2 linked regions of the Schizosaccharomyces pombe genome follow. Changing the gene in region 1 together with any one later gene gives a genetic interaction. Each region holds a gene or a part of one and is shown on either strand. Other genes may lie near its edges.

Region 1 (5,271 bases):
CTTCAGCTGATCCATCAACCATATCTGTCCGTACAAAGTTTATGGTAGAATCGATCACTAATCTTAAAGAAAACAAAAAAACAAAAGTTGCCAATGCTAGCGCCCAATCTAAATTTGAAGCTGTAAATCAGCTAAAGAAATTTTTGGGTTCGTTAGGCAACCGCTCATTAAATGCTAGAGAGCCTTTACGAGTTACTTTAGAAGATATTGAGCAGATTGAGACGAAAGGTCGATGGTGGCTTGTTGGAGCTTCTTGGAATAATGTTCCATCTGGTGACAACACATTATCTACTGAAGCATTACAGGATAAGAAAAAATCAGAAGAACTGACGGCCCATTCAAAAATTTTACAAGCTGCTAAGAAGTTAAGATTGAATTCAACTCTTCGAACTTCGATATTCGTTGCCCTTGTTGGTTCAGAGGTATTCGTTCTAAATTTCATTAACTTTAAACTAACAAACTTAGGACTACATTGATGCATGGGAAAGAGTGCTGAAGTTGCATCTCAAAAGGAATCAATTACCTGAAATAGCTTATGTAATTTTGCATTGCGTTGGTAATGAGAAATTGTATAACCCGTTTTATGGTTTGGTAGCGTTAAAATGTTGTACATTGCAGCACAATTTGAAAAAGTCATTTCAATTCTCTCTTTGGGATTTCTTTAATGAACTACAACCAGATGATGATAGTGAAGAAAGAGAAATATCCATGAGACGCATAGTTAACTTGGCGAAGCTTTATGCGTCTTTAGTCATTGAAGCTGCACAGCCCTTAACTATCCTCAAAGTACGTATATTCTAAAAATTTGATTGTAATTACTAACTCAATTTTAGCATGTGGATTTTATGGCCATTAATGCCCAAATGCAAACGTTTTTACTGGTCTTTTTTACCGATATAATTTTGGGAGTTAAAGACGATTTACAACTCGTAAAAATATTTGAAAACTGCAAAGCAGAGAAAAACCTTTCATCGAAAGTGGATTGGTTCTTAAAAACTTATGTTCGGAAAAATCCTTTAGTGGATAATTCTAAAAAAGCTCTGTTCAAGTCTAATCTTGCGATGGCTAGCGCCATTTTACAGAGCATTTCCAAAGAAGAAATTTGAGTTTTCATCATTTTCTTATGTACATATATAGTATATCGTATACTATACTATTCATAAAAACTTAGGGTTACGGTTATAAATAAAAAGGTTTTGGTTTGAAAACTGACACATATATACACCTTCAGTAAGTTGGTTATCATTATTAAGCTTATTTATGCTTGACATTGTCTAAACATAAACTATAATATTGCAACATTGAACATATACTATAAAGAATTCATGATTTACCTGCATACTTACTTTGACTTAACCAATTAAACAACTATTATAAGGAAACCGGATGCAAAATGATATTATGAAAATTGGCATTTTGGCCAAAAATTAGAGTTGAAGCTAAAACATAAACAATAAAGAGAATTAAATAAAATTAGTAATGGTTTCTGTTGAGAGACACACACATGGGTATAGACATATTTCTAGACACTATTACTCATGTAACCAAATCAATTTTGCAAAGAAACGAAGAAAGGGCAAAGCTTACTTACTGAGTCAGATACTAATTATTATTGACGATTTTGCCCTTTTGAAAAAGAACAGAAGGAGACGAACTTTAATAAAATTACCACTTATCAGCAAGAGGGAAGCTAGAAGCCCACTCAGCGACTTCTTTTTGAAGTTGAACAAGCTCGGGGTATTGTTCACCTTCACCAAGTTTAGCCTTGAAGTCTTTGAGCTTGTTGGCGTCCTTGGGAAGCTCCTTTTGTAAGTTGGCGGCAAAAGTAAGAGCACGGTCAATGTAGTCAACAACACGAACAAAGTCTTGTTCCTTGAATCCACGAGTAGTCATGGCAGGGGTTCCGACACGAATACCAGAGGGAGAGAAAGCAGATTTGTCAGAAGGTACAGTATTCTTGTTGGTAACAATGTTGATCAATTCCAACACGCGCTCAGCACGAGCACCGTCAACACCCTTGCTCTTGACATCAACCAAAACCATGTGACTGTCAGTACCGTCAGCAGCAAGTTTGTAACCACGCTTTTTGAATTCCTCTTCGCAGACCTTAGCATTTTTAACAACTTGAGCTTGATACTCCTTGTAAGCGGGCTCTTGGCATTGCTTCAATGCAACAGCCAAAGCAGTGATGGTGTGGTTGTGGGGACCACCTTGATGGCCAGGGAAAACGGAGAAGTTGATCTTATCCTCCAAGTCATAGTAAATGGGGTTACCCTTCTTGTCATGCTTACGAAGACCACGACGGAAGAAGATCATAGCACCACGAGGTCCACGTAGAGACTTGTGAGTGGTGGTAGTAACAACATCAGCATATTCAAAGGGGGAAGGGATAACACCAGCTGAGACAAGACCAGAAATATGAGCCATGTCAACGACCAAGTATGCGTTAACGCTGTCAGCAATTTGTCGCATACGAGCGTAGTCAATGAGACGGCAATAAGCAGAAGTACCAGCAACAAGGATCTTGGGACGGAATAACTGAGCGTCGTGCTCCAACATGTCATAGTCAATCAAACCGGTGTTAGGATCAACACGGTAGGGCATAGACTCAAAGTAAGTAGAAACAGCACTAATCTTCTTGGTATCAGTTTGATAACCGTGAGAAAGATGGCCACCTGAAGGCAAGTCAAGACCCATTAAACGACCGTGAGGAGGCATAATGGCTTGATAAACTTGCATGTTAGCGGGGGAACCGGAAAGACATTGAACGTTGACACCCCATTTAGCAGGATCAAGATTGAAGGCAGCAAGTGCACGCTCTTGGCAAAGAGTTTCAATTTGATCGATAAACTTGTTACCACCATAGTAACGAGCACCAGGATAACCCTCTGAATACTTGTTGCTCATGACACTTCCAAGAGCATCCATAACAGCACGAGAGGTGAAGTTCTCAGAGGCGATAAGAACAACAGAAGAACGTTGACGATCAGCTTCGTGTCTCATAATTTCGGCAACAGTGGGATCCTGTTCCTTAAGAGGAGTCAACATAATACTGTCGTTGGAAGACATCTTGAAATATTGTAAATATGCTTCTTGTTCTTATTCAAAGAAAACCACACGACAACGCCTGTAAAGACAAGAGTGATACACTAAGGATAGATTTTTTTTGCCAACTTCTGGTAATGGTAAAAAAAGTGACTGCTCTTTAGGATACATGCTAGCAAGTCTGAGAAAACAAGATAAGGAATATCTAAGCGAAATGTCTCCCTAATACTATTTAACGAATATTGTTAACAATTGATAAATGCGCAGGTAAGTAAAAACATCAAAATGAGCATTCCTCATTTATTTTTTTGATCCATAGAAGAGTTATAACATTAGGTGCTTTTAGCTAATAGGCTATGACAACTTAGGTAGATTTTAGATTAAAGATATATGGGAGAAGGCATGTAAATTTCTGTTATTTAAAATATTTTCAAAAGCATCAAAAATGATTTTAAGGAAAGATTTCGTAAATAAAAATATAAAGCAGTCATCAGCTAGTAAATAGATGGGCAATTATTAAATGCTTTAGATTCTTAGAATCGCGTAGAGGAGATATGATATGCGGTTTCTTGTTTTTCGTTATGATGAACTTTGACTAACATTCACAAACTATTGGCATTAAACTACCTTATGGAAACCAATGTTAAAAATAACGATCTTCAAAAAACGGAAGAGAGGTTAAAACAACAAGCTATAAAAGTTTTCCGAGCCTAGCCAGATGGTAATTTATTGTATTTTCGGATTTTGTTTTACGATGCTAAAAAAAAACTGTCAGTAGAAAGTGCATAAATATTTATAACCGTTACATACCGTTGTCTTCATGCAATTTTCGAGGGCTGCAACTAAATTCGCGCATTGTGCTGTATCTGTTTGACCACCATGATTTTGCCAGCATCCTAGTAATGCTGCCATCTCTTGGCCACATGGTATGGTATTTTTTTCTCTTTTCGGTCGGACTCTAAGTCTACTTAAGCCTTGCAATCTGGGAGGGTTTACAATTTTCTTCGACATGATCAACAAGGGTTGTGCCTTGAGTGACACGACTAAATTAAGTCTTTAAGGGAGAACAAAATAATTTTAGGTAAAGGTATTAATCTTTAAAGGAAACTTTAAAAAAAAGAGGACTCAAAAGTGACTTTTCAAGGTACCTTACCTTCTCAAACAATACTACACGAGATGGTGAAGTTGTCATCTGCATTTTTAGTGCGCAAGCCCGCTATAAACTGGTTTAGTGAGTTTAGGAAGATATTCTTTCACCGTCTACAACCATGCTAAAAGTTATCAGCCAAAAAGTGGTAGGAGGTTTATAGATTTTTATTAGAAAGTAGTTTTAATTATGCGTTTCAACTAACATTACAAATCTAACTTGAATTAGAAGGAAACCTCAAGAATCTAGATAAAAATGCTCTATCATTATAATAACGAACTCCCAGCAACTCATATTTACATTCTGCTTTCTACGATACTACACTACACTATGCTATGCTATATTACTTGCGTATCACAATGTGTCGTACGATAGAATACTAGTTAATACCTGCTCTTTAAAGTTTATGAATAACTATTCTTCTATTCATATATATATAACTTCTAATAAATAATATTAAAAAACTAAATATAGTGTGACCACTGAACCTCGTTCCTCAGTTCAGCTAAGCTATTTCAGTAGTATGTAACATATAAAATCCATATAAGATAATACCTATAGCAGCGCTTGCTGCACCACCTGTATACGTTTATATTATATAGTAAAGAAAATTCCACTGCAAGTTTACGTATCGATAAAATAGATAACAAACTGCGTAGCTAATATTTAAAAAACTGCATTAAGCATCGTTCTTTGAATGTTCAATGCTTTACATTCAAGACGTTTGTTGGTATATTCTTTTGCTGATTCATTATAATTTTCTTTCAAATTTAGAAATAAAGTTATTGTACCTAAGTTAAAAATTCCAGAGTTTTCTAGAAAAAAGAAGAAAACAAGAAACTGGTTACTCAATTTCCCTTATTAGGGAAAATCGGTTGTTTAGTGAAGCTTTTGTTTGGTGTGCTATTGTCAGTTTCATTTACATAGTAGGATTTGGTAATTTTTTGAGAACGCTCTCTTTAAGTGTACTCCTGTTTCTCCCGTTTACGGCTGATTGCTTTTTTGCAACGTTCCGGGTTTGTTAAAATTATCTGACTATGTCTTCACTACGTCTTCGTTTAAAATACGAAAATCAGTCT
Region 2 (5,985 bases), on another chromosome or scaffold:
GGTCTATCCAAACCGCTTGCATCTGTTTCATTCATCCACTTTGTAGAATAATTAAAGGAAGGAGCAAAGAAAACTGCACTTGATAGGGCAAACAGTTCTCTCAATTCTTTGATAGTAAACGAGACAGAAAATATGTTTCTTCTTCCTACAATGTGTAATCTTTTTAAATTGCTTCTTTCAAGTGATTTGAGGAACAATGGATTAATGTCAGTTGGGGATAATTGAGCAGGATTACTTAAAAGGATTCGAGCTACATCAAGTGAAACATTACCATGTCCAATAACTACTGCATCCTCTACCTGACTTAAATCCAACTCAAGATTTTGATTTCTGGGATCACTGTTATACCAACCCACCACTTCTCGCGCACTATAAACACCTGACAAGTCCTCCCCTGGAATTCCCAGTCTCTTGTCCCCAGCAGCTCCATAGGCAAGGACCAAACAATCATAATTTTTAGTCAAATCCCGTAAAGAAACATCAGTCCCAACGTTTACGTTACCAAGGAAGCGAAATTGTGTAGACTCAGCAATTTCGGAAAACTTGTGTTCTACATGCTACAATAGAGGTTAGCTGTATAATAAATTTAATAAGATCCATTTTTAAACCAATCAATATTTCTTGGCTTAACAGACTTACCTTAACTTCTGGATGATCTGGGGCAACTCCATAACGTACAAGCCCAAATGGAACTGGGCGGGATTCAAACATATCTATTTTGACATTTGGGTCATTTCGTAAGAGTCTGTGGGCTGTGTAAAAAGCAGCCGGCCCAGAACCGATGATGCCGACTACAGGTGAAGAAGTTTGAGTGCTATATGTTCTTTTAATGAATCGTGATAGCATCCTTTCTTAGCCTTAAGATGAAAGAAAAACAAAAAATGATTGAAATGAAGAAGTGAAGGATATCTTCGTGATTGTAAATCTGATATAAAACTAGCAGCAATTATCATTAACAACTGGACTCTCCTCAAAACGAAAAGAAAAGCTACCAATGCTTAATAAAACTGATTCATTAGTTTTAAAGCTTTAAATGTTTAATCTCAATAAACTGTTTGGTGACACCTATACAACTAGTGAATTTTATAGCATTGGATGAGTGGTCAGGTTCAAGCAGCCAAGCCTTTTGAGAGCAAAGCATTTATATGATAAGATCAGTCAGTATTTAGAAAAAGGAAATTTCTTATTAAATCAAAGGTAATTACAAACAGGAAAGTTGAATCAAACGCTACAACAGAACTTTTGCTGATCGTTGCTTACGATATTACCAGCAACAAACATCTCATATAGTAAAGTGCAAACCTTCAAATAAGTGTTTTATGTTGTTATTATGAGTGACTTAAGCAGCTTCAAACTGATTTCTGCAATGATTTTTTTATGATATTTCAAATAACTAGTTAGATGATTGTGGCTCAAATGGTTAATTTGAAAACGATATATTTAAATTTCTTAAAAATAATTAATCTCTGCTTATTCAATCATACTTATTTATAAAGATGCTAAACCTAGCTACTTGAAAGTGTTTTCTAATTCCTACTATTATAATGATAAAACAAAAAATAAGAATTTATTACATTCAAAATAATTCTATTTATAAAGGTCAATTACTCTTTCACGTTTAAAGAACTGTTGTAAGACCAACAAATTGTAACGCGGTAAGCTTTATCTTTGCGAGGACTTTAAAAAGGCGTAAGATTCAATTAACAAGGATGTATTTTAATGTAATTCCTGGATTGAAGTCAATTACTATACGTATTTTCTATTCTGTTTGCTTTAATTACTGAATAATATTTGCACATGCTATTGTTTATAGTATTATATCTACTACCGCGAAAACATTAATTATGTATATCAAATAATGAATATTTACGTGTCGTTAAAGTGTTTTAGCAATTGTAGAAACAAAGTATGTGGTACTATAAACCGGTTCCATCAATAAGTTGTGTGACAGCCAACCATCTTCTGCCAGCCACCAATAAATTCAATCGTACCGATTTTCGCTATATTGAGTGTTTTTGCACTCTATATACTTAATTAAGCCAGGTGTAATACGCTACATAGATAATTCAAGACACTTCGACGAGTTAAGGTGCTTTACTAGTGTTCTTTATTGAAGTTCTTTGTTTTAAGAAGTTAATGTGTTAGAGATACGTTAGTAACTGCACTTGTTGCTTTGTCTTACTCATTCTACGAGTTTTTCGTGAATTAAGACGATTGGTATTTATCTTTTTAGATATTGCAACTAAGCCTCGTGTTTAGCCGTTCGTGTTCCTTTCGATTGTAAAACTTTTTATTTTTTTCTTTCCGTTCCACTCTTCAACTTGACGTCAATTTGTTTTACTTCCCTGTTTCGTCTCCTGCTCACCTCTCATATAAGTTTAATTCCCCATTTTACCGGAGACTACTCCGCTCCCTTTCTATTTTATTTCTACTTATCTTGGTTACGATTTTGTTAAGCTGTACATCAAGGTATTGGAAGTTTTCTTTAATCCGCATCTTTATCGCCTCTTAATATTTAGATTTTCGATTTGAAATTCTTTAGCTTAAATTATTGTCAGTTTCTTTAACAGCTTTGTTTTTAGGAAACTGGTATTTGTTAGATCCCGGCATAGTTACAATTTTTGTCATTGTCGTTTTTTTAAACCTGTCACCAGTGAGATTGCATTGATCTCTTATCTAATTGGCAAAGGCCTTTACGTTTCCAGTTTTCTTTTTAAACTAAATTGCCTTTCTGTAGACTTTTTTTCGTTTTTCAATTAAGATTCATTGCAAAATGAATTCTATTCCTGATTCCTATTCCTTGAAACAAGGCTTTCCCGAAGGTTTAGGAGAATATGTTGATCCCTCTGGCAATCCTAATTCTCAGGTACGGATAGGTTATGGTCAAGATTCTGTTTCTCGCTTCCAACAACCAGTCCCCGATGTTGATCCAACTGCTGTCAATCACTACAACGCTAGTGCACCCATTGAGGTTGCTAGTCCATTTGATAATGTTACTCAAGGTCTTGTTGGCAGTGATGCACAAGCCCTTGCTGAATATTGGCAAAAAACCATCGATACATTGGAACATGACGATCAAGCTGTAAAAACTCTGCATCTTCCCTTAGCTCGTATTAAGGTATGCCACTTTTTCTGAATTAATTACTAACTATTGATTATGCAGAAAGTTATGAAAACTGACGATGATGTGAAGGTACGTTACTTTGAGTATTCGAATACTTTTTGACATTAACTTTTACTAATTTTTTTAGAATAAAATGATCTCGGCAGAAGCTCCTTTTCTGTTCGCTAAAGGAAGTGAGATATTTATTGCAGAGCTTACTATGAGGGCTTGGCTTCATGCCAAAAAAAATCAACGAAGGACACTACAAAGATCCGATATTGCAAATGCAGTATCAAAATCTGAAATGTATGATTTCTTAATTGATATTATATCTAAAGATAACAATAATTCCCGCGCATCTTCCAGTCAAGCTCATATGTCTGCTACTCAAGTTGCTGCTATGGGTGGTATGAATGGTTTACAACCTTTCCCCACTCAAGCTGGCTTACCCAATCAAGGGTTTCCAATGCCAACTGGTAGTCAACTTCCATTTTCAAATCAACAGTCAAGTCAGCCTTCAATGCAGTATTCCTCTCATCCATCCAGAATGCAGCAAATGCAAGATATTGATCAATCTATGTATAAACAGCAGCGTCTGGGCTCTGAATATCCACAACTACAAATGTCAGATAACTCCGGAAATGTTAACCAGATGAATATGCAAAGACCGGTCATGGTAGCACCGTACATGGCTGAGCATTTATACCGTTATCCACCTACGCATCTCGAATCTGGATCCTCAGCTTTCCGATTGCAGTCATCCCCTATGGGATATCAAATGCCCCAATTTCAAGGTAATATGCGACCTAATATGCAACAGTCTCAAATGTTTGATCCTTCTGCATATGGTATGTCAAGAAGACCTGGATCTCCTCGGCAATTCGATCAGCAACAGAGACTTTATTCACAGCCAAACGCTATGATGTATCAAACTCAGCAAGGGCGTCAGGGAAACCCAATGCATCAGCAGTTTTCCCAGCAACAAAACCCTCTTTCTCGCTATTCGCAACAACCCCAGTAATATCTTTTAATACCTGTTGATTTAGAACATGCAATTTAAATAATTTCTATTAAATTATTTGGGAGGATCCAACAGTGATGCATTTTTAGGTGGAACTTTCAATTTGTCAATTTTCGGTTTATCTACAAAAGCTTAAAGAAACAGTTGATTTTCATGACATGCTATGTCTAGTCATTGTTACTTTTTTTAAGCTATGTGTGGTTTTATTTTTTTAGCAAGACCGAAAAAGAAATGACGGAAGCTTTTCATATTTGCTGCCTCTTTATTTTCCCATTGCGGGACTGCTAGTGTAGAGTATTTTGTTTTACTTAAACATATATATGCATTTGAAATTCATTGTCGATAACATTCTACCTATTATGGATATTTACGGGTTGTCAATGTAAATAAATGATGGCATGTTGCAATCGGTTACCAAGAAGCAATTAGCTTTAAACAACGTTTAGGTTTACTTTATAATTAAATTTATTCGTATATGTACTTGAAAATTTGCACTTTTGATGATTTTTTAATTTAAAATCTCATAAATTTTAACTTCTATGTAAAAAGGTATTTAGGCTCATTATGCAAGGAAATTACAGCTGCTTTCATTCCCGACTGCATAAAAAACCACCATTCCACGGCCACCATACTCGAGGTAAAAATGAGTACGGCGGTGCGAGGCAGTTTAATTTACTCCTTCACCAGAACTACGCAGTTGATTATGAACAACAGATAGGCAGAAAGAGGAGAAACAAATTATTCTTATACTAAAGCTTAGAATTCTTTAATCTACCCCCAAACAACAACGAATGGCATCTACTAGCTTTTAAGCAACTTCTGTTCTGCAGAAAAAAACTACGTAAAAAAAGTTGCTAAAACTATCAGTTGCGACATCGCTGCTAACAAATTATCGACTAAACTTGTCGATAATAACGAATTCCCCTAGTAAGCCAAACATAACATTGAGAGGAAACGTAACGATTAAATATTAATTCAAAAAATGGTCCATGTGACTGCTTTTTTAACCGATTCGAGATAATCAGTTTTCATCAATTTAGACGACGATTTCGGCCATCAGAAATAAATCTGTGGATAAAAAGGAACCCCTTATATATCGCTAAAACCGTGACGACAAAACAGAAGTCTTTGGTTTACCACTTGTCCTTAACTGACTGCCTCTTTCATTTTCAACATCAAAATGCCTTCCATCTTATTACTTGGTTCGGGATTTGTCGCTCATCCTACTTTAGAATATTTATCTCGTCGTAAAGAAAATAATATAACCGTAGCATGCAGAACTCTTTCTAAGGCTGAAGCATTTATTAATGGTATCCCAAACAGCAAAGCCATTGCTTTGGATGTCAATGATGAAGCAGCTCTTGAGAAAGCTGTTTCCGAACATGATCTTACCATCAGCTTGATTCCTTACACTTATCATGCAACAGTTATGAAAGCTGCCATTAAGCATGGTAAACACGTTTGTACCACCAGTTATGTGAATCCCAAAATGGCTGAGTTGGAGGAAGCTGCCATCAAGGCTGGTTCTATTTGTATGAACGAAATCGGCGTCGATCCCGGTATTGATCATTTATATGCTATCAAGACCATTGAAGAGGTTCATAAAGCTGGCGGTAAGATTAAGTCTTTCTTGTCTTATTGTGGAGGTCTTCCCGCTCCCGAGGACTCCAACAATCCTTTAGGATACAAGTTTTCTTGGTCTTCTCGTGGTGTTTTGTTGGCTCTTCGCAACTCTGCCAAGTTTTATGAAAACGGCAAACTTGTTGAAATTGACGGCAAGGATTTGATGGAAACTGCTAAACCCTATTTCATCTATCCCGGTTACGCTTTCGTTTGTTATCCTAATCGTGATTCCACTGTC

What was found.
Region 2: mutations in shm1 (region 1) and php5 together harm fitness more than expected from each alone (negative genetic interaction), as found in Schizosaccharomyces pombe (one large-scale study listed by BioGRID).

Annotation. Positions count from the first base shown.
Region 1 is NC_003424.3:3,067,949-3,073,219, forward strand, and holds shm1 (serine hydroxymethyltransferase), read right to left. Parts: upstream 3,152-5,271; 5' UTR 3,070-3,151; coding exon 1,666-3,069; 3' UTR 1,374-1,665; downstream 1-1,373. Other genes in the region: sgd1 (ribosome small subunit biogenesis protein), read left to right, coding at 1-422, 466-786, 834-1,106; mrp10 (mitochondrial 37S ribosomal protein mS37), read right to left, coding at 3,737-3,802, 3,856-4,056; ubiquitin-specific cysteine protease, OTU family, Otu1, read left to right, coding at 5,230-5,271.
Region 2 is NC_003423.3:3,392,489-3,398,473, reverse strand, and holds php5 (CCAAT-binding factor complex histone fold subunit Php5), read left to right. Parts: upstream 1-1,967; 5' UTR 1,968-2,773; coding exon 2,774-3,118; exon of another isoform or gene 3,119-3,163; coding exon 3,164-3,193; exon of another isoform or gene 3,194-3,251; coding exon 3,252-4,124; 3' UTR 4,125-4,570; downstream 4,571-5,985. Other genes in the region: mitochondrial [2Fe-2S] cluster assembly NADPH-ferredoxin reductase Arh1, read right to left, coding at 1-557, 640-846; lys9 (saccharopine dehydrogenase), read left to right, coding at 5,305-5,985. UniProt on the Schizosaccharomyces pombe protein: Component of the CCAAT-bound heteromer, php5 is essential for DNA-binding activity. It is essential for transcription activation of cyc1. It is the linchpin that binds to the subunit association domains (SAD) of php2 and php3 to bring these proteins together.